Linked DNA regions of Caenorhabditis elegans. The protein of the gene in region 1 purifies or fractionates together with the protein of each later gene. This does not show direct contact. Each region holds a gene or a part of one and is shown on either strand. Other genes may lie near its edges. The genes, in order: F54F2.9 and C01G10.1.

Region 1 (4,657 bases):
AAGGTTCAAAGTTCCAGGCATCGAAGCTCATCGTCAGAAGGTTCACAAGCCGAACCACATCAATTGGGAAGTATTTTCAGAGAAGAGAGACGTCGACGAGAGAGAAATGAATCTCCAAAGTAAGATTTCAACTTTAATCGATATTTCTCCAGAATACGGAAACTCAAATAATTTTCATATTTCAAAAAATCACACTTTTTGAAGTTAGACAATTATTTGTTTATAAAAGATTATTGTTTTTTCTTTTTGGTATCGAAGCGATCGATTTTATTCAATTCAAACAAGCTTTTAGGTGATTTTTCATAGTTTTTCGATTGAAAAATATTTCATTTTTTGAAAATATGAGAAAAAGCAATAAAAACAAATAAATTTCAAGTTAAATTCAGTGGAAATGAGAAGAAGTTGTAAACTACAGTACTCCTTAAAGGCGCACACACTTTTGCATTTTTGAAAATCGGTCACTTCAAGACCAGACAGCGTATTTTTAATGAAAATCGCAAAATTTCGAGTTTAGGTGGTAAGTTATAATAATTGTCAAGTGAGAAAAACTACTATCTCCATGAACATATCATGTTAAAGTTTTAAAATCCAGTTTGAAGATAGTTTATAACCTGTTTTTCGTTAAGACTTCCACCTCCTCCTCCACCACCACCGTCGGATCCCCCAGTTGACACAAGCATCCCATTCGACGTGAGCACTTTGAACGAACCAACTAAAAAATGGCTGGAAGAGAAGATTGTTGAGCAGGTAATTAATTTCTTTCCAATTTTGTCGTTTTAAAAGCATATGGTTCAGGTATCGGCTCGTGTACATCAACTGGAAGCAATGATGGCTGAAAAAGCGACATCGGCAAGAAATGAGATGGAAAAGATGTTGAGAGCTCAAATCGAAGCAGAAATGGCAGTAGAATTGGCGGAATGCAAGAAACGGGATGTTAGTTTTTTTTCTACTTTATAAAACATTTCCTCTCCTCTACAAAGGTTAATGTTACCAGTTTTCAGGAAGAATCTCGTAAAAAGTGCAAACAATTGGAAGCAGAACTAGAAAGAAAAGTTCTGGAAGCTGAAGAAAGTCGCAAGAAATTTGTAAGTTGTCTCCTCCAACTTCAAGAATGCAAATATTCCAATTATACGAAAGATCTACGAAATCTGCCGGATTCTATTCATTTTTCTACATCTTTTCAGCAGCTTATAAGATATCAAATATCTATTTCTCGTCTTGAACATTTTTCTTAATTTTTCTCTCTTTTTCTCCTCAATTAATTCCATTTCCTCTTTGATTTATACAATTTTGTGTGCCAACAAACGAAAGGACATGTCGTCGCTGATGATTCGGCCCCCCGTCTAGCAGGTATTTGTGCAAGGATATCATCTTCATCTTCAACGCGAGTCACAATCAATTTTAGATTTTATTAGTTTAAATTAAATCAAATTTCCGCACTTCGACCTAATTTAACAGTTATTCATTTCAGGAGGAAGATCGTTTGGCAATGCTTGAGCAAAAGAGCCAATTGGAACGAGATCGTGCTGAACTTGCACGTCAGAAATCGGACATGAAAAAGAATGAGCAGCAGGCGATATTGAACAAATCAGGCAACTCTCGGGCTCCGATTAAATTCAAATTTGGGAAATGAGCACAAGATGAACAAATCGCCTGTGCACCTGACTTTACCTCGCCGATCTCTTCACTCACTTCTTTCAGAGTTTATTATTTTTTGTTTAATGAAGCCACTTTAAAATTTAATTGTCTTCGCTTCAAAATTTCGTAAAACCAAATAAAAAACTTTGTTATTTATTATTTTTTGTTGGTCCAATAATAAAAATGTATACGTAAATCGTTTAAATCTCTAATTTTTATAGATTAAAAAAATTTGGTTGAATTTTCTGAAATATTTATTGCAGAATGCGGGTCATCCTTCTCCTTGCCTTCCTAATATCCTTAACAGAATGTCAATGGACATCAGAAGATTTGGCTCTATATGATTTAGTGGAAGAAGTCGGAGTTAATTTCTACGAGTGGTTCGATATTCCACGAGATGCCTCGTCGAATCAAGTAAAGAAAGCATATCGAAAATTGACACTTGAATGGCATCCGGATAGGAATTCTGCGCCTGATGCTACGGAAAAGTTTCGTCAAGTTGCTGGAATCTATGAAGTTTTGAAGACTACAGAACTTCGTGAAAAATATGATAATGTTCTGGAAAATGGGTTACCTTCGTGGAGGCATCCTATGTATTACTATAGGTGAGGGAATTCACATAGTGGTTTTTATTTTTGAAAATTGGAAAAAAAATGTACAGAAAAATACGAGAAAACTACATAAGATTGTTATTGTTTTTCTTAAAAAATTATGCTTTTTGACTGTAAATATATTCTTAAAATTTGAATGAGTTTTCCAATTAATCATATAAATAGTTTAAAAAAATCCCCATTGCTATTATACGTTTTGCGATGGTTTCAAAAAAAAAGTAACTAGGTTTGCCCAATAAAAGTTGCGTGACAATCTTAAATCTGATCAAATTCAGAAATAAAATGCAATGTGTTAGTCTTAAAAATTGGCAGAAATACCAAAATATTTTCCTTCCCATTCCACCATATTCCATATCACATGGTTAACTGAAATAATTCGGATTTTTTTAAAATAGTGTTTTATAAATAATTTTTTCCAGACGAATGCGAAAACTTGCATGGTATGAAGGAATCCTTGTGCTTCTTTTTATCGGAACTATCGCTCATTACCTGATGATGTGGGCGGCATATTTCGAGAAAACTCTTGTCTACAAACAAAATGTGAAAAAATCGCGAAAATCGAAAAAAGAAGATCCAGCGGAAGCAGAAAAATTGATGAAACAAGCACTTGAAGAGTATCTTCCAAAATATTCAGAACTTCTTCCAATTATTCTTGCTAGAGGTACAGTAACCCTCTTCAAAAACTTGGCATTGACTGCTAAAGATGCTATGACACCTAAAGAAGTTGAACCTGAAGAACCAACAGAAGAGGAGTTGGCTCAACAGAGAAGGCAACAAAGAGCAGCAGCGGCACCCCAGCAACTAGAGTTTAAATTTGAAGTGGCTCAAGGTATGAAAGCAGTTTCCACAAATGATCCTGAGATGGAGAAAAAGTATGCAGCAGAAAATGAAGTTGTAGCACAGAGTAAGTTAATTTATCAGAAAAAAGGTTTCTGAACTCTACTCAATGATCTTTTAATTTCAGAACAATCTGGAGCAACATGGACGCCTGATGAATTAGCTAGTCTGGTTCGACTGAGCACTGAAAAATACCCGGCTGGAACACCGAATCGTTGGGAACAAATGGGTCGAGTTTTGAATAGAAGTGCAGAAGACGTTATTGCAATGGCTGGAAAAATGAAACAGATGAAGCAAGAGGATTATACGAAATTGTTGATGACAACTATTCAACAATCAGTACCAGTTGAAGAGAAATCAGAAGATGATTGGAGTCAAGCTGAGCAGAAGGCTTTTGAAACCGCATTGCAGAAATATCCAAAGGGAACTGATGAAAGGTTAGCTTGGAAACTAGAAATGGGTATTTTGAAATTGAGAACGCTCATCCTCCAAGCGTTGGGTTTCGTTAGGTATTGACGGTAAAATTTCTGGGTCCCCATAATATAATATCCAGAGGAATGTTTTAAATATTAAATTTCAGGTGGGAAAGAATCTCCGAAGAAATTGGAAGCAAAACGAAGAAACAAGTGATGGTCAGATTCAAGCAATTGGCTGAGATGATTCGAAAAAAGAAAACCAATGATACCTAGTTTTGTCATAATATTTATTCCGTTTTTTTGTTGGTCGGGTTTGATGAAATTCCAAAATTTATTGTTTTAGACGCGTTTTAAATATTTATTTATTTATTAAATTTTTATTAATAAATTGATGATAATAAAAGAAAAAACATCAAAAATATCGACTAGAAACATGTCAATGTATTGGTAATTAATTGGAAAACAAAGAAACATAATATGAACATATAAAGCACCAAATTGAGCGGAGATTCCGAAAAACGATCGAACATGAAAGTAAGATTGGGGGGCAAGGCACGACAAGAGGACTAAATTGGGACCAAAATGATAATTTTAAAAAGACACCCGCAGATGTGAATAGTAAAGAATAAGGAACAAAAAATGGAAAATATTATAGCATTTGTCCGTGACGTCCCTGATTGTACTGATCTTGTGATGTATAACGGGATTGACTATCAGCGTATTGAGCATTTGGTTGACGGTCGGCACGGAGTTCTGCATGCTCAGTTGGTGGACGATTACGTTTGAAGAAACCACACTGAAAATTAGATTATTATTATTTATTTTCTGAGGGAAACTGTAAATTTGTTTCGAAATTGGTTGTATACTGTAGTCGCTCTGATCTACCTATATTCTACAGTACCCCCGACGTAAGCTCGCCGTGGACGTTGCTGTGAAATTTTCGAAAGCGTGTGAGCACAGCTTTAATGTCGTAGGCAACTTCTTTTAAATTCAGTTTTTCTTAATCTTTGTGACAATCATTTTTTACCTTTCGAAAATGGCAGAGTTTGAACCATAAACTTTTCTCGCGGCGAGGCCCATCCGAATAAATCAATGAGGCTTTGAGAAACCGCTTCACAAAATTGGAAATTAAGATATAATTTTTGCTGCGTCACA
Region 2 (7,140 bases), on another chromosome or scaffold:
CTTAATGTAAGTTTTTTTAGGGGTTTAGAGTATGATTCGAAAAAGAGGCAAACGTTTTTTGACGTTTTATTTAAAATTTGGAAAAAAAAACATAAAAATGAAGGCTTTCAAAATTAACTTCAGAGGTACATATATCATAAGCATCTTTTCTAACTTTCAGAAATGAATTCTTAAATTAAAACGAAATTTCTCAGGAAGATATTTTATTGGGAAGACATTCTTATTAGGCATCATATTGGATTTTATTGCTCATGTTTTAATTTTTTCTTCTTCTGTTTTCAGTGGGTACTCATTTTACTCTCCAGCTGTTGAAAGCATTCTTGTGACGTTTGGTACGAATATGCTAGTTTTCAACGAATTTCAAAGTGTCTACTTATCCTTCAATCGATTTTTCGTTATGCTATTTCCTTTAAAATTTAGTTGGCTATGGGGTTTGAAACTGACATTGGTATTGCATATTCTTTATTATATAAACCGCATCTGGAATGTGGCTACGGAACACTTGAGTAGAAGTGGTACTGATTTCATGGTTACGTTTAAAACCATTTTTTTGTAATTTCAGAAAATTCAAATTTTATGCTTTTTTCCAATGAGCATTTGGCGTATATCGGGCTTTTGTCTACACCTGAGCATATGCAATTATGGGCTGTTGCTTTAATTGTTTTCCCACTTTCAATAAACGCAGTCACATACATTCTGTTTCATTATATGGTAGGGAATGTTTTTAGAATATTTTCTTAGAACTATAAAACAAATTTGGCTCTATGTTTCAGAAGAAAAAGACAATCCGCGGATCTCAACACCGGAGAAAAGCACGGAAAAATGTGTTACAGTTTCTTCAGACTCGTTTGTTTTCTTCAAGACTCGTTGTTTTCAATCACGGTCTTGTTTTCTCAGCTCGAGTAAGTCACTGGAACAATTTCAGCTTCAACTCAAAATATAACTTCAATTCCAGTAACCTTTTTGATCATAGAATCTGGACATTCTTCTGCCAAACATTTGTGTTGCAATTCGTTCATGTTCTTGATGGGTGAGTGGATTCAGACACAGTTAATTCGTAGATCGGGCACAATGTATTACGATCAGCAGTGTAAATCGGGCACAAGATCAGATTTTCAAGCTTTTCAAGCTTTCAAGAACATTTTTTAAAGTAGTTTTTCCGAACTATTATATATGTAAAACTTTTTTTTTTGAAACATTTTTAAGGCGTCAAGCAAAAAGTCAAGCTTTCAAGCGTTTACATTACCTGCGAGCCGTGGGTTTTCAAATTTTCGTACACATTCACTGTATTTTTTTAAATCAACATATGGAAAATGTTGACGCGGCTGGCATTTTATGGGTCTGTTAGGTATTTTTCAAAAATTGTTCTACAGAATCTGAGCCGCTACAGGTTCCAAAAAATTTTCACATGTAGCTGAAATTCGAGTTAGTAATGAATATGAATTTAGATTCATTATGATGATGTTCAACAATCGACTGTCCCCAATGAAAAATAAAGTTCTCCGGAAAGTGAGCCCATTGGAGTCTATTGCTGTGAAGTGTGATGACAGAAGAGCTATTTCTAATCTACCACCACCATCTACAAGATCATAAAACCAGCAATTAATCTATTCATGTAATTGATTTCAACATTTCCCTTACTCTGTATTTTCGTTAATTTTTAATAATTAAAAACCAATGAAAACCAAAACCTTCAAAAAAGGAAAACTATTATATTCAAAAAGTTTATTGAAAAACAAAAAGAAAAATGCATGAACAACATAAAACAAATTTCGATTTATTTTTATTACGTGAACCTCCAATTCGTTTGTTTCAACATTTTTATCTGATAATCAAATCTGCTCAAATCAATCATTGCTCAGGCGGAAGACCATATCTTCTCGCAAAATCTATTCATTGTCTACAGTCTTTAAAAATAAGCATCTTTCGGTAAGTCGTTTTTCATACTTTCAGGCTGTAACGGCAGTATTTCAGATAAAAAGTATTGCAATTGTGGACTTATGATTACTTATTATTTTGGCATCGGAATTCTAGGAGCATTTCTAGTTACAGCCGGAAGTGGTGAGTTGGAAGAGGGAAATAGCTCGCGCGTAAACTATTATTAAGGGTTTATAAACTAATACTTTGTTCATTTTTGAAAGAGTCGATTTTTATCTTAAGAGTGTCTTCTTGCATTGCTTTAATTTGAAAAAAAGCCAACATGTAAATACGAAATCCATGTAGCAAAAAAACGAAATATAAAATACTAAAAGTAGAAGAACTTACGTGAAAATTCAGAATAATGAGTGAAAAGTGTCATTAACACACGTGGCTGTTAGTTTTGAATTTTCCACAGTCTTTACCCACACCTACATGCCTGCCTACTCGCCTACATGTATCTCTTCCACAACGGAAACCATTTTTCAGCCCCGTCAAATCTCCAACTCATCAGCGAAGACTTCCGTATCCTATCTCGTGTGACCAATGCGATTTCCCTCCAAGCAGGTGCTATCAGGAAGAATATCAAAGTTCGTGATCTACTGGTAGAGCTGATTCGGATGCCAAGAGACCAGTTCAACAACATCATAGATGTCGACATCAAAGTGGCACGTACGGAGTTGAATAGAATGGGTGAAGAATTCGAGAAGTTGTCTCTATTGCTTCAAAATGATACGAATAGTCTGGTTGGTGATAACATGACCGATTTGAAAAACAATTTGAAGTTTCTATCACTCTTTTCTCAACAAACGTCTACCTTCTTGGATGCCATCAAGTACCCTATCAAGAACCTAATGAACAATCTAACGACAATAATTGCAAACAACTCGATGTTCAGGAGTAGTTGCTCACAAGTGGATACGGATAATTTCAAAAGTTTTTGGGACTCTATCAACAACGAATTGTCGGAATACGCCACAAATGATTTCCCGGGCTTCGCTGATACATTTGTCGCTAACAAACCAAATTTTTCCGACTGCCTAAACTATTTCCCACAGTTGCAGGCTGAGCTTGATGCTTTACCGATATGGGGTGGACTTGAAATGATTAGAAAATGGGAAGATATTATACGGTTGGTTGCAAAATTTGATGCATTAAGCGACTCATTGCGAGCTACAAATGCAACGCTTTTCCGGGTTCTTTCAAGTCTGAAAGCGACAAAATCTTTATGGAAGAGTGTACATCCTAATTACCATGCCCAGGTTATGACTCAACTCAACCGTTCTCTGTTTGAAATCATTAAACATCACATTGCGCCAACAAAACCAGTTCTAAAATACAGTGCGGGCTTCAGAAGCTCAAGAGATTTCTCTAAAATCTCCAAGGATTTGAGTAGCCCTTGGTTCAGAAGAAATATTGCTAAAGAATCGAAAACAAAGGACCTGAACCATGCACTAAAGATATTCCATGACATTTCGGAAGCCGTCACTTCACTCGATACTTCTTGGCACAATTTCACTGCTCTCACCTTGGATTTTGAGTCCTCAGAAGTTGCAAAAGCAGGACCTATTCTTGACGTTATTTCGAAAATGTCCCTTAACTTTGCAAATTATGAGTCAATTATTCAAAACGCGAGTAACAAATTATCGGAGTGCTTTTCGAATTTTTCTGTTACTTCTTTGGAGACACCCAACTCTTCCCTTCAGGAAATGATTCAAGACTTTCAACAAGCTATATCACCAGCTACAAATTATATGAAATATTTGGCCCAAATCAGAAAACAGGTCTCGTATATCAATATAAACTCAATCTTAACCATACGCCCCAACCGCACCATAAAATCGTTTTTTGACGAATACTACAAGAAGCTAAGCAATGAAATCGAAAAACAAAAAGTGAACAAAACCAATTCGTTGAGGGTGAAGACTCGTCTCAAAATCATCATTGATCAGATAGATAAAAGGGAGGTTGATTTTCACAACTTCATGACACATCTTTCACAAAACTTAAAAAATATTAAAGTGATCACAAATAAATCTTTACCAAACGACACTAAAATAGACAAACTGCTTGTCGAAATGTTGGACACGTCACAATTGAGGGGAATATCGAAATGTTTGAGGTTAATATTATTATGTCTATGCCCAAAAAATATTTAAAAATTGCAGTCAAGAGTTCATGCAACCGCTTCGAGTATTGGAGGTAATTGAAGCAATGATTACTGTTCGACAGTTTGCTGGAAATAAGACGGTGCTGAAAATGAACCAGTACCTCGATGAGCTAGCCAAGGTTAGTAAATAATAACTTCATTGCTTTTATTTATAAATTTCAGGTTAAGAACCAACTTTGGAAAGTGGAAAAACAAATCAAGTTGATCACATCTCAGTCGAATTCCAGTCACAATCTTGTTCTGAAATTGAAGACCCCTGAACTTTTTACTGCGAGTCTCGGAACATGTGCGCACGTGTTAGAAGATCTTGAAGAAGCACGACAAAATCACCAGCTTCTTTCGAATTACCCAGATTTCCCTGTACAAGTTTTGAAGACAATTTCGGGAATGGGACTCCGTGAATGGCTGGATCCGGAGCAAAAACTCCAAGTAATGCTCCAAAAGATTGATGCTCTTGATGCAAAATCAAAGATGTTGAGGAAAAATGGGAATTTATCAGAGATGGTCAAAGTGTTCGATGATGCCTCAAAAATCAATGGTATCCGTGGAGATCCTAAGGATTTATATAGACTATTCAGTAAGTAGTTAAAATGGAAAAAAAAATAGTTTTTAGAATTCTTACCGAGTAAAAAACATTGAACTTTCAGGATTATTGAAGAAGTCTAGCAAGCTGGAGAAGCAAGAAGCTGCAAAGTATTTCGAGTCTATAAAAAACTTGGATCTAGATTTCGCACGGCACGAGGCTATACTCAAAGGAGCTGAAATCACAATTTCTTCCTTGATGACCTATTTTGATGAGATATTTGGCAACAAGAAGCTTGATATCGTTACAATTGCGGTTGATAATCAACTTTCTTGGATATACATCATTATTATTTGCATTGGTGTGATGATATTGATTGGTCTCATTTGTATTGTTGCCTACGGGTTTACTCAAAATGGAAGGTCAAAGTATACAAATTTGTATTTATATTATGTTGGAAAACCAGTTCATTATGAGAACAGGTGGAGATATTCTGTAAGCTTCTCATGTTAAATCTACATTTTTTGAATCAACATTTTCCAGCTTTTCCTTGACAATCAGGATGGAAAGAACACCTTGTTGGATGCAGTACGGGAAATTAACAAAACAAATGCGGTGAATGCTGTAAAGGCAGGATCCTACATAAATGCATTTAACAGTAAGATTCAAGAAGATCTAATTTAGACGAAAAAGCTATATTCAGAGTTCGGAAATACCGCTCTGCACACTGCAACCAAGTCCGCTCTACCTGAAATTGTAAAGCTTCTCATTAAAAATGGAGCTGATCGGGAACTGCTGAATACGATGAATCGAACTCCGGAGCAGATGATCCCACTCGTATATAAAGACATTCCAAAGGACAAGGTTGAAAATTTTGACAAGATTCGAGCATTGTACAAAAAAGCAAATGGGAAGAAGCACAAAATGAGTAAGCATCAAATGTCTTGTGATAAGCTAAATAAAATTGAAAATTTTGAGATGTTCCACAGAAGTTTCCAACCACATCATTTCATATTTGGATAGACGAAAGAACCGACATCAACATAACCAACCAATTTATGGAGAAGTTTCAAGCTATTGTGAGTTATTCTTTGCACCAAAAACTTCTTATTTAAATCATATTTCAGACATCTGATGAAGCTAATTCAAACACTACACATGTCATTGTGAAGACAGATGAGAACGGAGCTCTGGAAACTGATAGTCTCGATCTACTACTTTGGGTATTCAATGGTGCGATTATTGTCAAAGAACAGTGGATGGTGGATTGTTTGGAAAATGAGACAGTTATCGAACAGGATTCAAAATATTTGGTGGAAAAAGTTAAATACAAGGGATCATATTACAATACAGTTCTTCAATGGAGTGAAGCCATGGCAAAAGGAGCCATTCCATATTTGTATGGAGTATACTCAGCGGTTGTCATGGTGGAATGCAAGAATTGTGAGCAATTTCGATTCAATCCTTTGAAGGTCATTTTATAATTTTTCAGTGCTGAAATTGAATTCACTTGTCGCAATCCACGGTGGTGTCATGATGGAAGTTTTTCCAAGAAAGGAGCTCTTCAATGTTGGATCTCACCCATACAACCATGCAAATCTTGGACCTTTGTTTTTGATTCACGATGGAAAGGTTTGTATTTTGACCGTTTAACTGTGAAACAATTTTTTTCAGATAAACTTGAGCGTCTACAAATCTGATCCGGACAAGATGTACACACTGTTCACTGAAGAAGAATTCATAAAGTTTATGCTCAAACGAGATATTGTCAAAGATATTAGTGAAACTCCGATTAGTGTTCTGAAAGATGAGAAATAAAGATTCTTTATTGATATTACTGCAGTTGTTTATTGATATTACTGCAGTTGTTTATTGATATTACTGCAGTTGTTGCAGGCACATCTTTAGGCCCAGTTTTTTCTAGCTATGTGGTCCACTCATTATGGAAATTAAAACATGAACACAGTTTCTCCACGAGAAGATCGTAACTGTACATGCATAAATATTATTTTCAGAATTTTTTCTGCTTGAATTTTGCTATCTATTTGAAAACGAGAATTTATTCAAGATTTATTAAGAGCAATCAAGAAAATAGAAAACAAATTGAAGCAGCCAAATACAAATTCAGAACTTAGGTTCCATGAGTTATTTGTCAGATTGTAAAATTATTTGTAGAAAGATGAGGAGCTACAGAGACGTTGTCAGCAGCTGTCCTGTTTATCGGATTGAAAAACTTCAGAACATCTGAAAAAAAAACATTTAACAAGATTTTCAGTTCTAGTATACCTTTTAAGGCTCTTCTGTAGTCTGTGATGACGTACATCAGAATACATGCGTCTAATGCTGGATAAAGCGCGAATATACCCAAAAATATTCCAGTAGGCATACTAAATTTCAGATTTTAAAAAATAGAAGCTACCTGAAGCAACAGAGTTTTGAATATTTGGAGATGCAATTTTCGAACTTCTCCCGATAAGAGGCTTAGTTTCTCTTCCATATCGTGATACAATTGGTAGCTGCAGAAAGTCAT

What was found.
Region 2: the proteins of F54F2.9 (region 1) and C01G10.1 fractionate together in Caenorhabditis elegans (co-fractionation; one large-scale study listed by BioGRID). This does not show direct contact.

What each region holds. Positions count from the first base shown.
Region 1 is NC_003281.10:8,824,473-8,829,129, reverse strand, and holds F54F2.9 (DnaJ homolog subfamily C member 1), read left to right. Parts: upstream 1-1,901; 5' UTR 1,902-1,902; coding exon 1,903-2,243; intron 2,244-2,668; coding exon 2,669-3,153; intron 3,154-3,213; coding exon 3,214-3,523; intron 3,524-3,666; coding exon 3,667-3,775; 3' UTR 3,776-3,904; downstream 3,905-4,657. Other genes in the region: F44E2.3 (uncharacterized protein), read left to right, coding at 18-119, 627-747, 796-933, 1,002-1,085, 1,472-1,633; Integrin alpha pat-2, read right to left, coding at 4,152-4,298.
Region 2 is NC_003283.11:15,097,962-15,105,101, forward strand, and holds C01G10.1 (BRCT domain-containing protein), read left to right. Parts: upstream 1-1,785; 5' UTR 1,786-1,929; intron 1,930-1,974; 5' UTR 1,975-2,000; coding exon 2,001-2,061; intron 2,062-2,406; coding exon 2,407-4,039; intron 4,040-4,085; coding exon 4,086-4,206; intron 4,207-4,249; coding exon 4,250-4,664; intron 4,665-4,734; coding exon 4,735-5,105; intron 5,106-5,153; coding exon 5,154-5,268; intron 5,269-5,313; coding exon 5,314-5,538; intron 5,539-5,588; coding exon 5,589-5,689; intron 5,690-5,737; coding exon 5,738-6,053; intron 6,054-6,102; coding exon 6,103-6,242; intron 6,243-6,284; coding exon 6,285-6,428; 3' UTR 6,429-6,444; downstream 6,445-7,140.